Linked DNA regions of Callithrix jacchus. The protein of the gene in region 3 purifies or fractionates together with the protein of the main gene of each other region. This does not show direct contact. Links are inferred from orthologs where the notes say so. Each region holds a gene or a part of one and is shown on either strand. Other genes may lie near its edges.

Region 1 (3,500 bases), on a different chromosome or scaffold from region 3:
ACTCCCCGACAGCAAGTGACCACTCCCTCCCCTGAACCTTCTCTCTCCTGGCCTCAACGCCCCCCTTGATGGACAGGAACCACTGTCCTGCCCCAACTCGGGTTCCTCCTTCCTGCTGTCATGAAGGTTTGGGGGTAGGTCTTGCTTTTTGTCCCCTTTCACCCCAGTATACACATGTGCAGTGTCTCAGCAAGCTGGGCACAGATCTGCCATCTGAGAGGGCAAGGGGATGGATGAAGGAATGTAGGGGTGGTTGAATGGGTCAAGGAGACACATGGTGGGAGAGCACCCCCCACATGAGGGTGTTAGGGGCTGAGAGCTGACAGCAGAGGGTGTGGTGAGGGTTGGGGACTACTCTCATGGACCCTGTTCCTTCTCCCTGGCCCAGGAGCTTGCCGAGCTGCCAGACTACAACAAGATCTCCTTTAAGGAACAGGCACCCGTGCCCCTGGAGGAAGTGCTGCCGGACGCCTCTCCCCAGGCATTGGACTTGCTGAGTCAGTTCCTTCTCTACCCTCCTCTCCGGCGCATCGCAGCCTCCAAGGTAAGGTGAGAAGCTGGGGTCTCTGCTCCTTCAGCTCCCCTCCCCATCACCCTGGTACTCTGTACTTGGTTGCCACGTGACCCCCATCAAGTCAGCGGCTCTCAGAACGTGTGATGGGCAGGGACCAGCACCAGGCATTTGGAACCCAGGGGACAGGGACCTTGGAGCAGGTGTGCCTCTTCTGAGGCACTGGACATCCCTAGAGTTCTCCTGAGGGTGGCCTCCAAGAGGGGCATGCCCACCTCACAGGAGAGCACATGTCCGAGGGTGCTGACTTCTGGGCTGCCTCTGATCCTATAGGGGGAGCACTGGGGACTCGTTCCTTCATTCCTTTGGCAAGTATTTTCTGCACACCCTCACGTGGCAGGGGTTGTTCTGGGCCCCACACGGATGGTGAACAATCAGACCTGCCTCCATGGGGCACTCCTAGTGGTAAGGTAGCTCCAGGCCCAAAAGGTCACAAGAGATTGTGCTGTCCCAGTGTGGGAGACCCAGAAGAGAGGCGAGGCCGACTTTGGGGTCAAGCAAAGCTTTCTGGTGGAGGGCAGGTTTAAGCAGGAGATGTTTGAGGAGGTGTTTGCTGAAGAGAGAAATGGTGGGCAGTGGCCTGGAGGCGAGGACCAAGGAAGGCTGGTTATGGCTGGAAGGCCTGGGAGGACGATGAGGACCACAGGATCATGGGCTGACAGGTGTCAGGGTGTGTCTCTCAGGGGTCCCTGTCCCCTCTGCACGCAGCACCAGCAGCAGGTGTTTATATACGCTCTCTTCGTCTCGCAGCTCCTGTGGGCTCTGCATCCACAGTGCACCCCAGCCATCTGACCCTTACCTCCTGATTGCCTCCCAGAATCTGGGTCTCCCCTCATCCCATGTAATCTCTTCTCCACCTGGCAGAGAGAGTAACTTTATCCAAATAGAGCAGGACACATTCCTGCTCTGCCAGGCCCTCCTATGGCTCCATGTCAGAGGAAAAGCCAGGGTCCTCTCTGTGGCCCACAGGTGTCACATGTTTGGGTGCCATCACCTCATGACGCTGCCAGCTGTTGTGCCGTGTGCCCACTGCTTTCCAGCCCCAGGGCCTCCTCCACACACCAGGGCATCCCCTGGGGTCTGTACACTTTTGTCTCTGCCCTGGAACCTCATGTCCCACTTGCTCATGTCTCAAGTCTTGGCTAAAATGTCACCTCTCAGATGGCCTTCCCTCGTGACGCTTCATATCTGTAACCTCTCTCCAGGATTCCTCATTCCTCTCTCTTGCTGTCTCTTTCCCACTGCACTAATCATTATCTGACATACGGTGTATTTTACTTCATCTTGTTTATTACTCCCCACCCCCACCTATGTCAGAAAGACAGAGCTTTTGTCTGTTTTATTAACAGCTATGTCCCCAGCTTCTGGAATAGTGTTTCAGACATAGTAGACACTCAGAAAATACCCAGGCACTGAGTCCACTGAATGCATAGATGAAGGAACATCTGCCTGAGGCTGAGGGCAGGGAAGTGACTGGTTTCCTTCTGCTGTTCCTTACTTGCCACCCCCAGGCTCTCCTCCATCAGTACTTCTTCACAGCTCCTCTGCCTGCCCATCCATCTGAGCTACCGATTCCTCAGCGTCCAGGGGGACCTGCCCCCAAGGCCCATCCAGGCCCCCACCACGTTCATGACTTCCACGTGGACCGGCCTCTTGAGGAGTCGCTGTTGAACCCGGAGCTGATTTGGCCCTTCATCCCGGAGGGGTGAGAAGCTGGCCCTGGTCCTGTCTGCCTGTGCCTAAGGACCACCCAGTCCACTTGTTCCTCTGCCACCTGCCTGGCTCCACCCTCCAAGGCCTCCCCATGGCCACACTGGGCCCACTCCACACCACACCCTGCCCCTTGACCCTTGTGAGGGTTGGTCTTGAGGCAGAGGTTATGTTCCTAGCCAAGAGCATGACAGCATCCAGTCCAGCAGAGGAGATTCACGTCCTGTGCTTGGTGAGTCTGTGTGCTGCTGACTTACCCATCAGAACAGTGAGCTCTGCTGCCATTCAGGGCCTGCCTATGCAGAATGGCGATGTCTGCCTTGGTGATTACCCATCACAACAGTGAGCTCTGCTGCCAGCTAAGGCCTGCCTATGCAGAATGGCGATGTCTGCCTTGGTGATTACCCATGAGAACAGTGAGCTCTGCTGCCAGCTAAGGCCTGCCTATGCAGAATGGCGATGTCTGCCTTGGTGATTACCCATGAGAACAGTGAGCTCTGCTGCCAGCTAAGGCCTGCCTATGCAGAATGGCGATGTCTGCCTTGGTGATTACCCATCACAACAGTGAGCTCTGCTGCCAGCTAAGGCCTGCCTATGCAGAATGGCGATGTCTGCCTTGGTGATTACCCATCACAACAGTGAGCTCTGCTGCCAGCTAAGGCCTGCCTATGCAGAATGGCGATGCCTGCCTTGGTGATTACCCATCAGAACAGTGAGCTCTGCTGCCAGTCAAGGCCTGCCTGTGCAGAATGGCAATGCCTGCCTTCGTGCTGCTTCCCCAGGTGTTGCCTCCTGGTCAAGGAGAAGTGCAGAGAGTAAGGCGTCCTCATGTTGGAAACTCAAGTGGAAGGAAGATTTGGTTTTATTCTCAGAGACATTAAACACTAGTTCAGTATGTGAGGTTATAGATTCTAAAAACCTCTGGTGTCTCTGTCTGTTCCTCCTCTATTTCTCTCAAGGGAAATAAAGTGACATTGTCTGATGGCCCTCATTTTTGGGTGGGTCCTGGGGAAGGTGGCACCAGGCACAGCACTTTTGCCCTGAGGGCCTCTCGTGTGCTTCATATGACTGATTACTAATTTGGAAGTGAGGGAGATGGAAGTCTAGGCCCAGGGATGGCTCCAGTTGGGGATCCAGCAGGAGACCCTCCGCACTGAGGCTGGTTTACCAACATATCTACTCCCTCAGGATGAGTGTGAGCCAGAAGCAGCTGTTTATA
Region 2 (3,500 bases), on a different chromosome or scaffold from region 3:
TATAACATTAACATCAACACTGTGAGGTAGATACCATTAAATATTGATCAGGATACAGAGGCACAAAGATACTTACTGATCAGTATACAGACACAAGAGGTTAAATTACTTACTCAGGGTCACACAGGAGGGAGAATTCCTGGGATTCGAAATGTGGCAGCTTAGCTTGAGATTATCCACTCTGCTATACTGCCTGCAGCCTTCCGCATCTATTTACACTTCTAGTTCCCTTAATTTTGTCTTGTAATGGTCACTAAAATTCTAGTGTAAGAATTTTAACCACTATCTAATGTAAAACCCTTACTGTATTCCCTAGGCTTACAAATGTTGACATTGTAACTTTTATTTTTAAATAGGCAATGCATTAGCAGGAATTCAAATTAGGACAAACAGTTGTCCAATTGTTCGGCATAACAAAATTCATGATGGCCAGCATGGTGGGATTTATGTGGTAAGTTAATGTATATAGTTATATAAACTCGTGCATCAAAACCAGGGGGGAGAAAGAGTTTCTCCTTAAGCTTTTAGGTAGGCCATATTCAACTTCTGTAGTGTGAATTTATGACTGCCTTTAATAGTTAGACAATAAATAGCATTCTTGTTCTCCCTGTCAGTATCTTATAGTCTGTGTTGAATTCTATAAAATTTAATCAGCAGCTGACTAAATTTAGGCATAAGAGATACAACTGTTTATTAAAGTCTTTATTACTGGCATTATGGGCTAAATGCAACAGCAATTCATTTGCAGTCTGTTATATTTGTTACACTAGAATTTTACCAGTATGACTAGGGTATGAGTCTCTGAAGTTCTGCCACTTTTTCATTTCAATTTATGTTAAAATATAATTGTCTTTCAAAATTTTTAAACCTTTGTATTAATCATCTTCGCTCATGCTATCTAAAATTTTGTGACTGATTTAAGTAAGAAAATGTAGGAAATTTCAAAAAGGTCTTTATGTTATGCAAGGTGTGACTTTTAATTTTCATTTATGGTTCTAGAGATGCACATGTCCTCAATTACCTGCTAAAAGTAAAAATTTTGTGAACATGAAACCATGTCATTTTGAATTGATTTAACCAGTAATAAGTTTACTACTAAATGAGACGTTGTCATCCTAGAGTGAATTAATTCTTTTGCTAAAGAAAATTGAATGCTACTACTACTCCTATGTGATATTAAAAGTATAAAACCACTTAACATTATAAATTTTTGGAAGCTTAAAACGAGGGTAGAGGCTACATAAAAAGAATATTGGGCCAGGCACGGTGGCTCACGCCTGTAATCCCAGCACTTTGGGAGGCCTGGACAGGAGGATCACAGGTCAGGAGTTCCAGACCAGCCTGGCCAGCATGGTGAAACCCTGTCTCTACTAAAAATATAAAATTTAGCCGGGCGTGGTGGCAGGCGCCTGTAATCCCAGCTACCCGGGAGGCTGAGGCAGAGAATTGCTTGTACCTGGGAGGTGGAGGTGGAGGTTACAGTGAGCCAAGATTGTACCACTGCACTCCAGCCTGGGCAATAGAGCGAGACTCCATCTCAAGAAAAAAAATAATGTTGCCATTACCTCATTACTCAGATGAAAAAACAAAAATGGAAAGTTTTTTCATAACTGTCTATAAAGGGAGTAACAGACTATAAATGCCTTGATTATAGAAGATATAACCAGTGTAACTTTTATTTAGCATGAAAAGGGACAAGGAGTAATAGAAGAGAATGAAGTTTATAGTAATACTCTGGCTGGAGTCTGGGTGACAACTGGCAGCACTCCAGTACTGAGAAGAAACCGGATACACAGTGGCAAGCAGGTAGGATTAGCTTGGACTCTTGGGTGGGAAATACATTGTTTTGTAAATACTTGTCACTTGAAAAAGGTTTTTTTTGTTTTTTTTTTTTTAATTTTAGGTTGGTGTTTATTTCTATGACAATGGACATGGAGTGCTAGAAGACAATGATATCTATAATCATATGTATTCAGGGGTTCAGATAAGGTAAATGTTTTTACATTTGGCTTTGTTTTGGGAGGGAGTTAGGAGTATGTGGGGTGTGTAGAACAGATTTGCTTATTGTCTAATGCCCAATCTTTATCCCTCTGTTGTATATATATTCACATTCTTAAAATAATCTTGACTTGAATTGTCAGAATGTAACTTTCCTTGGTCTAGGTAAAGAGTCACATCACTTTGAGATGTGACTTTCCACTATGAAAAGTGGAAGTCACTTCAGTTGCCAATATGTTCCTTCATACGTGGAGAGTGGAAGTCTGTATTAAAATACTTGTGCACTATGCCTGGCATATGATTGGCACTCAGTAAAATGATTCTGTTCTGTGCTATTTCCATAAAATTAATAGTTGTTTATCTCTCCCCTCCTCCCCCCGCCTTTGTTTTTTGTTTTTGAGACAGAGTCTTGCTCTGTCACCCAGGCTGGTGACAGATCACCCAAGGCATGATCTTGGCTCACTGCAATCTCCGCCTCCCAGGTTCAAGCAATTCTCCTGCCTCAACCCTCTAAGTAGCTGGGATTATAGGTGCATGCCACCACATACGGCTAATTTTTGTATTTTTAGTAGAGATGGGATTTCATCATGTTGGCCAGGCTGGTCTCGAACTCCTGACCTCATGATCTGCCCACCTCAGCCTCCCAGAGTTCTGGGGTTTACAGGCGTAAGCCACTGCGTCCAGCCTTTGATACCCCTCTTACAAGTTTTTGGAACTCTGTCAGTCCTAATGATCATATACTGGCTTACCTCTGTTTATTACAAATTGAAGGTTTGTGGTAACCCTGTGTTGAGCAGATCTCTCAGTGCCATTTTTTCAGCAGCATGTGCTCACTGCCTGTCTCTATGTCTCATTTTTATAATTATTAGAGTATTTCAGAGTTTTTCCTTATCCTTTTATCTGTTATGATGATCTCTGATCAGTGATCTTTGATGTTACTATTGTAATTGTTCTGGGACACCATTAACTGCACCCAAGATAGCAAACTTAATGTGTAAATGTCGTGTATGACTGTTCACCAAGCAGTCATTCCCATCTCTCCCCCTCTCCTCAGGCTTCCCTTTTCCCTGAGACACAATAGTATCTAAATTAGGCCAATTAGTAATCCTAAAATGACCTCTAAGTGTTGAAGTAAAAAGAAGAGTTGCATATCTCTCACTTTAAATCAAAAGGTAGAAATGATTAAGGTTAGTGAGGAAAGTATGTCAAAAGCCTAAATAGACCAAAAGCTAGGCCTCTTGTCCAGTTGGCTAAGTTGTGAATGCAAAGGAAAAGTTCCAGAAACAAATCAAAAATGCTTTTCCAGTAAACACACAAATGAAAAGAAAGCAAAGCAAATCAATCTTATTACTTAGTTTCTCAGGGTTCAAAGCAAAATTTAAAAAAATAACAAGGCCAGGCATGGTGACTCATGCCTGTAATCCCAGCACTTTGGGAGGCCGAGGTGGGTGAATCACCTGAGGTTGGGAGTTCGAGACTAGCCTGACCAACATGGAGAAACT
Region 3 (4,248 bases):
ACACTCATGCGTCTCACCTGGGGAGTTAGGATCCTGCCCACCTGGGGTTGGCACGCTGGTTGCTCACTTTGCTTTGGTCTGAACACCTGGTGTGCGCATGTGTATACTGCTTGAGCCATCTGTGTACCCCTCTCCCTGGGGTACACTTGTGGGCACACTACAGTGGGGACAGCAAGAATGCAATATATTATGGATTGCTGCATGATTCTTAAAAATGAATAAAACTGTTTACAAGGGAAGGAGAGCTAACTAACTACAAAGTGAGTTTATCTGTGAAAGTTTCTCTTTCTTCAGTATTCTAATATTTTTATTCAAGAGGATCTGGAGTTGGAGGAGTGGGAGAGGCAAGGGCTAGGAAAAGGCATGTTGGTGGGGGAGAGATGCACCATTGCCGGGACTTCTTCATGGCCTGGGCATCAGCCTTCCTGGCTCCAGCTCCTGGGCAGAGGCTGGGTAAGCAACCCAGCCCCCACCACTGCCTCTGCAGCCGCCTTAAACCGGAGAACTTCCAACCCTGCAGCTCCTCAATAATTAAAGAGCAGGAAAGCTGGTGACAGGAGGGAGGCCAGGGGAAGGGAGGAAGAAGGGCCACAGTCCCCAGAGTCCCTCTACCCTTAATCCCTGTCACTTAAAAGTTGGTGAAATTAATTGACTAAAAGGCACCGCTAGAAGAATTTGACAAGTCCATGACTTCAGAGTTTTACCCACGGGCTCTGCCTCATCCGCTGTCTCCAAAAGAGTGAGTGTGCTTCTGCAGAAGTCTCTAGAATATCAGCTTCCTGGAACCTTGAGGATAGGGGTGGGGAATGGGCTGCTTACCGGGACACACTGGATTACCCTACCGCCTGGTGTTTGCCGCCTCTGTGGATGTAAGCAGCAGGTGGCATCGGAGAGTCAGACCTGCCTGGGGCACCAGAGAGAGATACTAAGGGTCGGGGGAGAGGGAAACGCCGCAGAAATATGAGAAAGTGCCACTCGCAGCGGAGAGGAAAGAAAACCTCAAGGATACGGTTCCCGAGCCTAAGCCCGCTCCCAGCCTTAGCCCCTCAACCCGAGGCTCTGTCCCAGGAGCAGTCGATGCCTCAGAGAGACCCGGACTGGAAGGGGGTGGGGGCGGGAGTCGTGGTTCCCCAGGACGAACGGATCCGTAGCGGTTCCGGGGGCCGCGGGCCGCGCGCTTCTCCGACCCCAGCGCGGGGCCCTCTGGCGGGAAAGAACCGAGCCCGGACGCGGCGGCGGGTAGGGGGTTGGGTGGCGCGGGAGAGGGCGGCAGAAGGAGGGAGTTCGAAGAGCGTTGCCGCCAGAGAGCGTGGCAAGTGCCCGCGGTCTCCTTGGAGACTTGCTGGCCAATAGCAGTGGCGGAAGCTGTTTATGGGGGCGGAGCGTCGCCATGGCTGCAGGAGAAGCCTTTGGAGCGGCTACTTATTGCCGGTCCCAGGGCCGCGGTCGCTCAGAGAAGCGCCGTCGGGCGGGGGGGCAGCGAGAGGCGCTGGCAGGGCCCTCGAGCGGAGGGGCAGAGAGCCGCAGGGGGTGGGAGGAACTTCTTCCAGAACCTTCCTCTGGCCCGGGCTGCGCTCTGAGCCAGGTAAGGGACGAGGAGGGCTACAGGCCCTGGGGAAGGGTGGGCGACGGTACCAGTCCGCTCTCTCGTTCGTCCTTGACGGAAGTGGTGGGCCCAGGGACTGACAACGGAGGAGTTTGTGGGAAACTCGCCTCCTGCCCCTCATAACTGTTCCGTCCCCTTCCTTCCCGACGACCCCCTATCATAATATTCCTTTTCAAGGATCAGAGGACCTCCTCCGCTCCCGCCCCGTCGTACTGCCCTCCCAGACTTGTCGCCCCATTTCCATTTGTTGCGGGGAGGAAGGGGGTCCTGATTTCCTGCTCTTCGGGAGAAAAGGATAGCCTCGGATGCCCCTACCCTCTTACTTTATTTGCCTAATAAAACCTCGAAGAGGAAAGGAGGAGGGAGGCGGTTCTGGTGGGGGGGGGGGACCCCAGGGCCTTACTTCTGTTTCCCAGACCTCGGTACTAAAAGATCCTCCCCAGCTGCGGGGATGATGTTAGGGGAGGCGCCCCCTGTACGGGGCGTGGGGTGGTGCTCAGCTCCCGCCGTGGTCCTCGCAGGCACCACAAGCATATTCGGAGGAGGCGCCCCAGGGGTCGCGAGATGGAAGCGCGCGTCCGAGAGGCCGAGTAACCGAAGCTGCGGGAGTCAGCGGGCGGGAGAGCGCGGCGGGCCACCCCCGACTCAGGCCGTGGATGCTGACCGCCCCCTCGGAGAGTCCCCGCAGACATGGCGGAGAGCTGGCTGCGCCTCTCCGGAGCCGGGCCGGCGGAGGAGGCCGGGCCGGAGGGCGGCCTGGAGGAGCCCGACGCCCTGGATGACAGCCTGACCAGCCTTCAGTGGCTGCAGGAATTCTCCATTCTCAACGCCAAGGCCCCCGCCCTGCCCCCGGGGGGCACCGACCCCCACGGCTACCACCAGGTGCCAGGCTCAGCAGCACCCGGGTCCCCCCTGGCGGCCGACCCCGCCTGCCTGGGGCAGCCGCACACGCCGGGCAAGCCCACTTCGTCGTGCACATCGCGGAGCACGCCCCCGGGGCTGCAGGCCCCGCCCCCCGACGATGTGGACTACGCCACCAACCCGCATGTGAAGCCTCCCTACTCGTACGCCACGCTCATCTGCATGGCCATGCAGGCCAGCAAGGCCACCAAGATCACCCTGTCGGCCATCTACAAGTGGATCACGGACAACTTCTGCTACTTCCGCCATGCAGATCCCACCTGGCAGGTAGAGGAGGCGCGGGCGGCGGCCGCTCCCTCCCCATTCCCTCCTGGCTCCCCACGGGGCATTGGATTCACATCCCAGATCTGCAGGCCAAGTAGGCTCCGTGCGGCCAGGGCCCCAGAAGGGAGGACTGCAAAGGGGCCCAGTTCTTGCAGCTGCCCCTCCTTTGACTTCCAGAGAGGGAGAAGGGAGAGTGTCCAGAGGTAGAGGGCTTTAGGGGTGCAGAGGCTGAGATTCAAGGGGAAGGAACCTGCCATTCATCCAGCAGGCCCAGGCCAAAGACCAGGGCTAGACCGCGTGGATAGAGTCTCCTTGGGGAGAGCAGTGAACTGAAGGCACATTCTTGTCCCAAGTCCTAGAATTCCTAGCCACTGCCCTGCCCGGGAAGGTTTGTCAGGCTGGGAGTCAGAAACGGAAACTGGAACATGGCCTCCCTGCCAGGCTCTATGTCCTGCCCTTTTGCAGTTGGCTTGGGGAGTGTGGGATGGAAGGAGTGCTGTGGCATGTGAGGGCCAGCTTTGTCCCAGTGGAGGGTGGAGGGCTACCCCCTCCTAAAGGGGGACCTTCCTAAAGCTGCTGTCCCAGCCCCCTACTTCAACCTCTGCTTAGTTTTCTCCCTCCAACCCCCGCTCTCAGCCAACCTCCCTGGGGAGACAATTACCTGAGCCAGGTACCTTCCACAGGGGCTCTGCCTGCCACACGGCTGCATGTTCCAAGTCTCTGGAACCTGGCACAGAGCAGCCAAGGGGCCCCAGCCACCATGTAAACATCCCAGCCTTGCTGGGGGCACTATCACCCACCTGCCCTGCTGTCCCAGCCCAGGACCCTGGGCCCCAGCAGGCTTTGGACAAGATGAAACACATAAGAATGGACAAGGCAGGAGGATGGTGGATTTGAGGCTGGGTGGACATTGCTCCGTCTTCAGCCATCACCATCAAGGGCTAGTTGGTAACAGAGGCCCCCCAAGGATGCCCAGACTCTTCCCTGAAGCACCCAAAGTGGGCAGGCCACAGGACCACAGTCCCAAGCCATTTCAAATGCCCCCTGACCCTAGAGCAGTGTCATTTTAGCCACAGCAAAAAGCAGGGACCCTCAGCCCCACCCTACCCTAAGCCTGTTCAGCTTTGGCTTCAGGAAACCAGCCCCAGGAATGAGTGCTATGCTCCTGGCTCTTGGCTGGGTAATAATCAACTGAGCCTAGAGTAGGGGGAGGGGGCCTTGGGGGGTGAAGGCCCAGGCCAGCAGCCAGCTCAACAAATAGGGAAAGTCATCAGATCCTACACCCCTCATCCCTGCATACGCTCGCTGGCTCTCTCTCTCTCTCTCTCTCTCTCTCTCTCTCTCTCCTCTCTCTCTCTCTCTCTCTCTCTTTCTCTCTCTCTCTCTCTCTCTCTCTCTCTCTCTCCCCGCCCCCCCCCCCCCCCCCCCCCGCCACCATCCTTGGCTGCCCAGCCCCC

What was found. The genes of interacting proteins can lie anywhere in the genome.
Region 1: the proteins of FOXJ1 (region 3) and cyclin-dependent kinase 20 purify together in Homo sapiens (affinity purification with mass spectrometry; 3 studies listed by BioGRID and IntAct, counting the BioPlex papers as one, with this or other methods). This does not show direct contact. The link is inferred for Callithrix jacchus from reciprocal best matches to the Homo sapiens genes FOXJ1 and CDK20.
Region 2: the proteins of FOXJ1 (region 3) and FBXO11 purify together in Homo sapiens (affinity purification with mass spectrometry; 3 studies listed by BioGRID and IntAct, counting the BioPlex papers as one, with this or other methods). This does not show direct contact. The link is inferred for Callithrix jacchus from reciprocal best matches to the Homo sapiens genes FOXJ1 and FBXO11.

What each region holds. Positions count from the first base shown.
Region 1 is NC_133502.1:77,540,645-77,544,144, forward strand, and holds part of cyclin-dependent kinase 20, read left to right. Parts: intron 1-76; coding exon of another isoform or gene 77-134; intron 135-388; coding exon 389-544; intron 545-1,920; coding exon of another isoform or gene 1,921-1,944; exon of another isoform or gene 1,945-2,082; coding exon 2,083-2,280; 3' UTR 2,281-3,500. UniProt on the Homo sapiens protein: Required for high-level Shh responses in the developing neural tube.
Region 2 is NC_133515.1:66,903,102-66,906,601, forward strand, and holds part of FBXO11 (F-box only protein 11), read left to right. Parts: intron 1-356; coding exon 357-451; intron 452-1,683; coding exon 1,684-1,806; intron 1,807-1,903; coding exon 1,904-1,989; intron 1,990-3,500. UniProt on the Homo sapiens protein: Substrate recognition component of a SCF (SKP1-CUL1-F-box protein) E3 ubiquitin-protein ligase complex which mediates the ubiquitination and subsequent proteasomal degradation of target proteins, such as DTL/CDT2, BCL6, SNAI1 and PRDM1/BLIMP1.
Region 3 is NC_133506.1:132,041,731-132,045,978, reverse strand, and holds the start of FOXJ1 (forkhead box protein J1), read left to right. Parts: upstream 1-1,448; 5' UTR 1,449-1,585; intron 1,586-2,009; exon of another isoform or gene 2,010-2,127; 5' UTR 2,128-2,296; coding exon 2,297-2,794; intron 2,795-4,248. UniProt on the Homo sapiens protein: Transcription factor specifically required for the formation of motile cilia. Acts by activating transcription of genes that mediate assembly of motile cilia, such as CFAP157.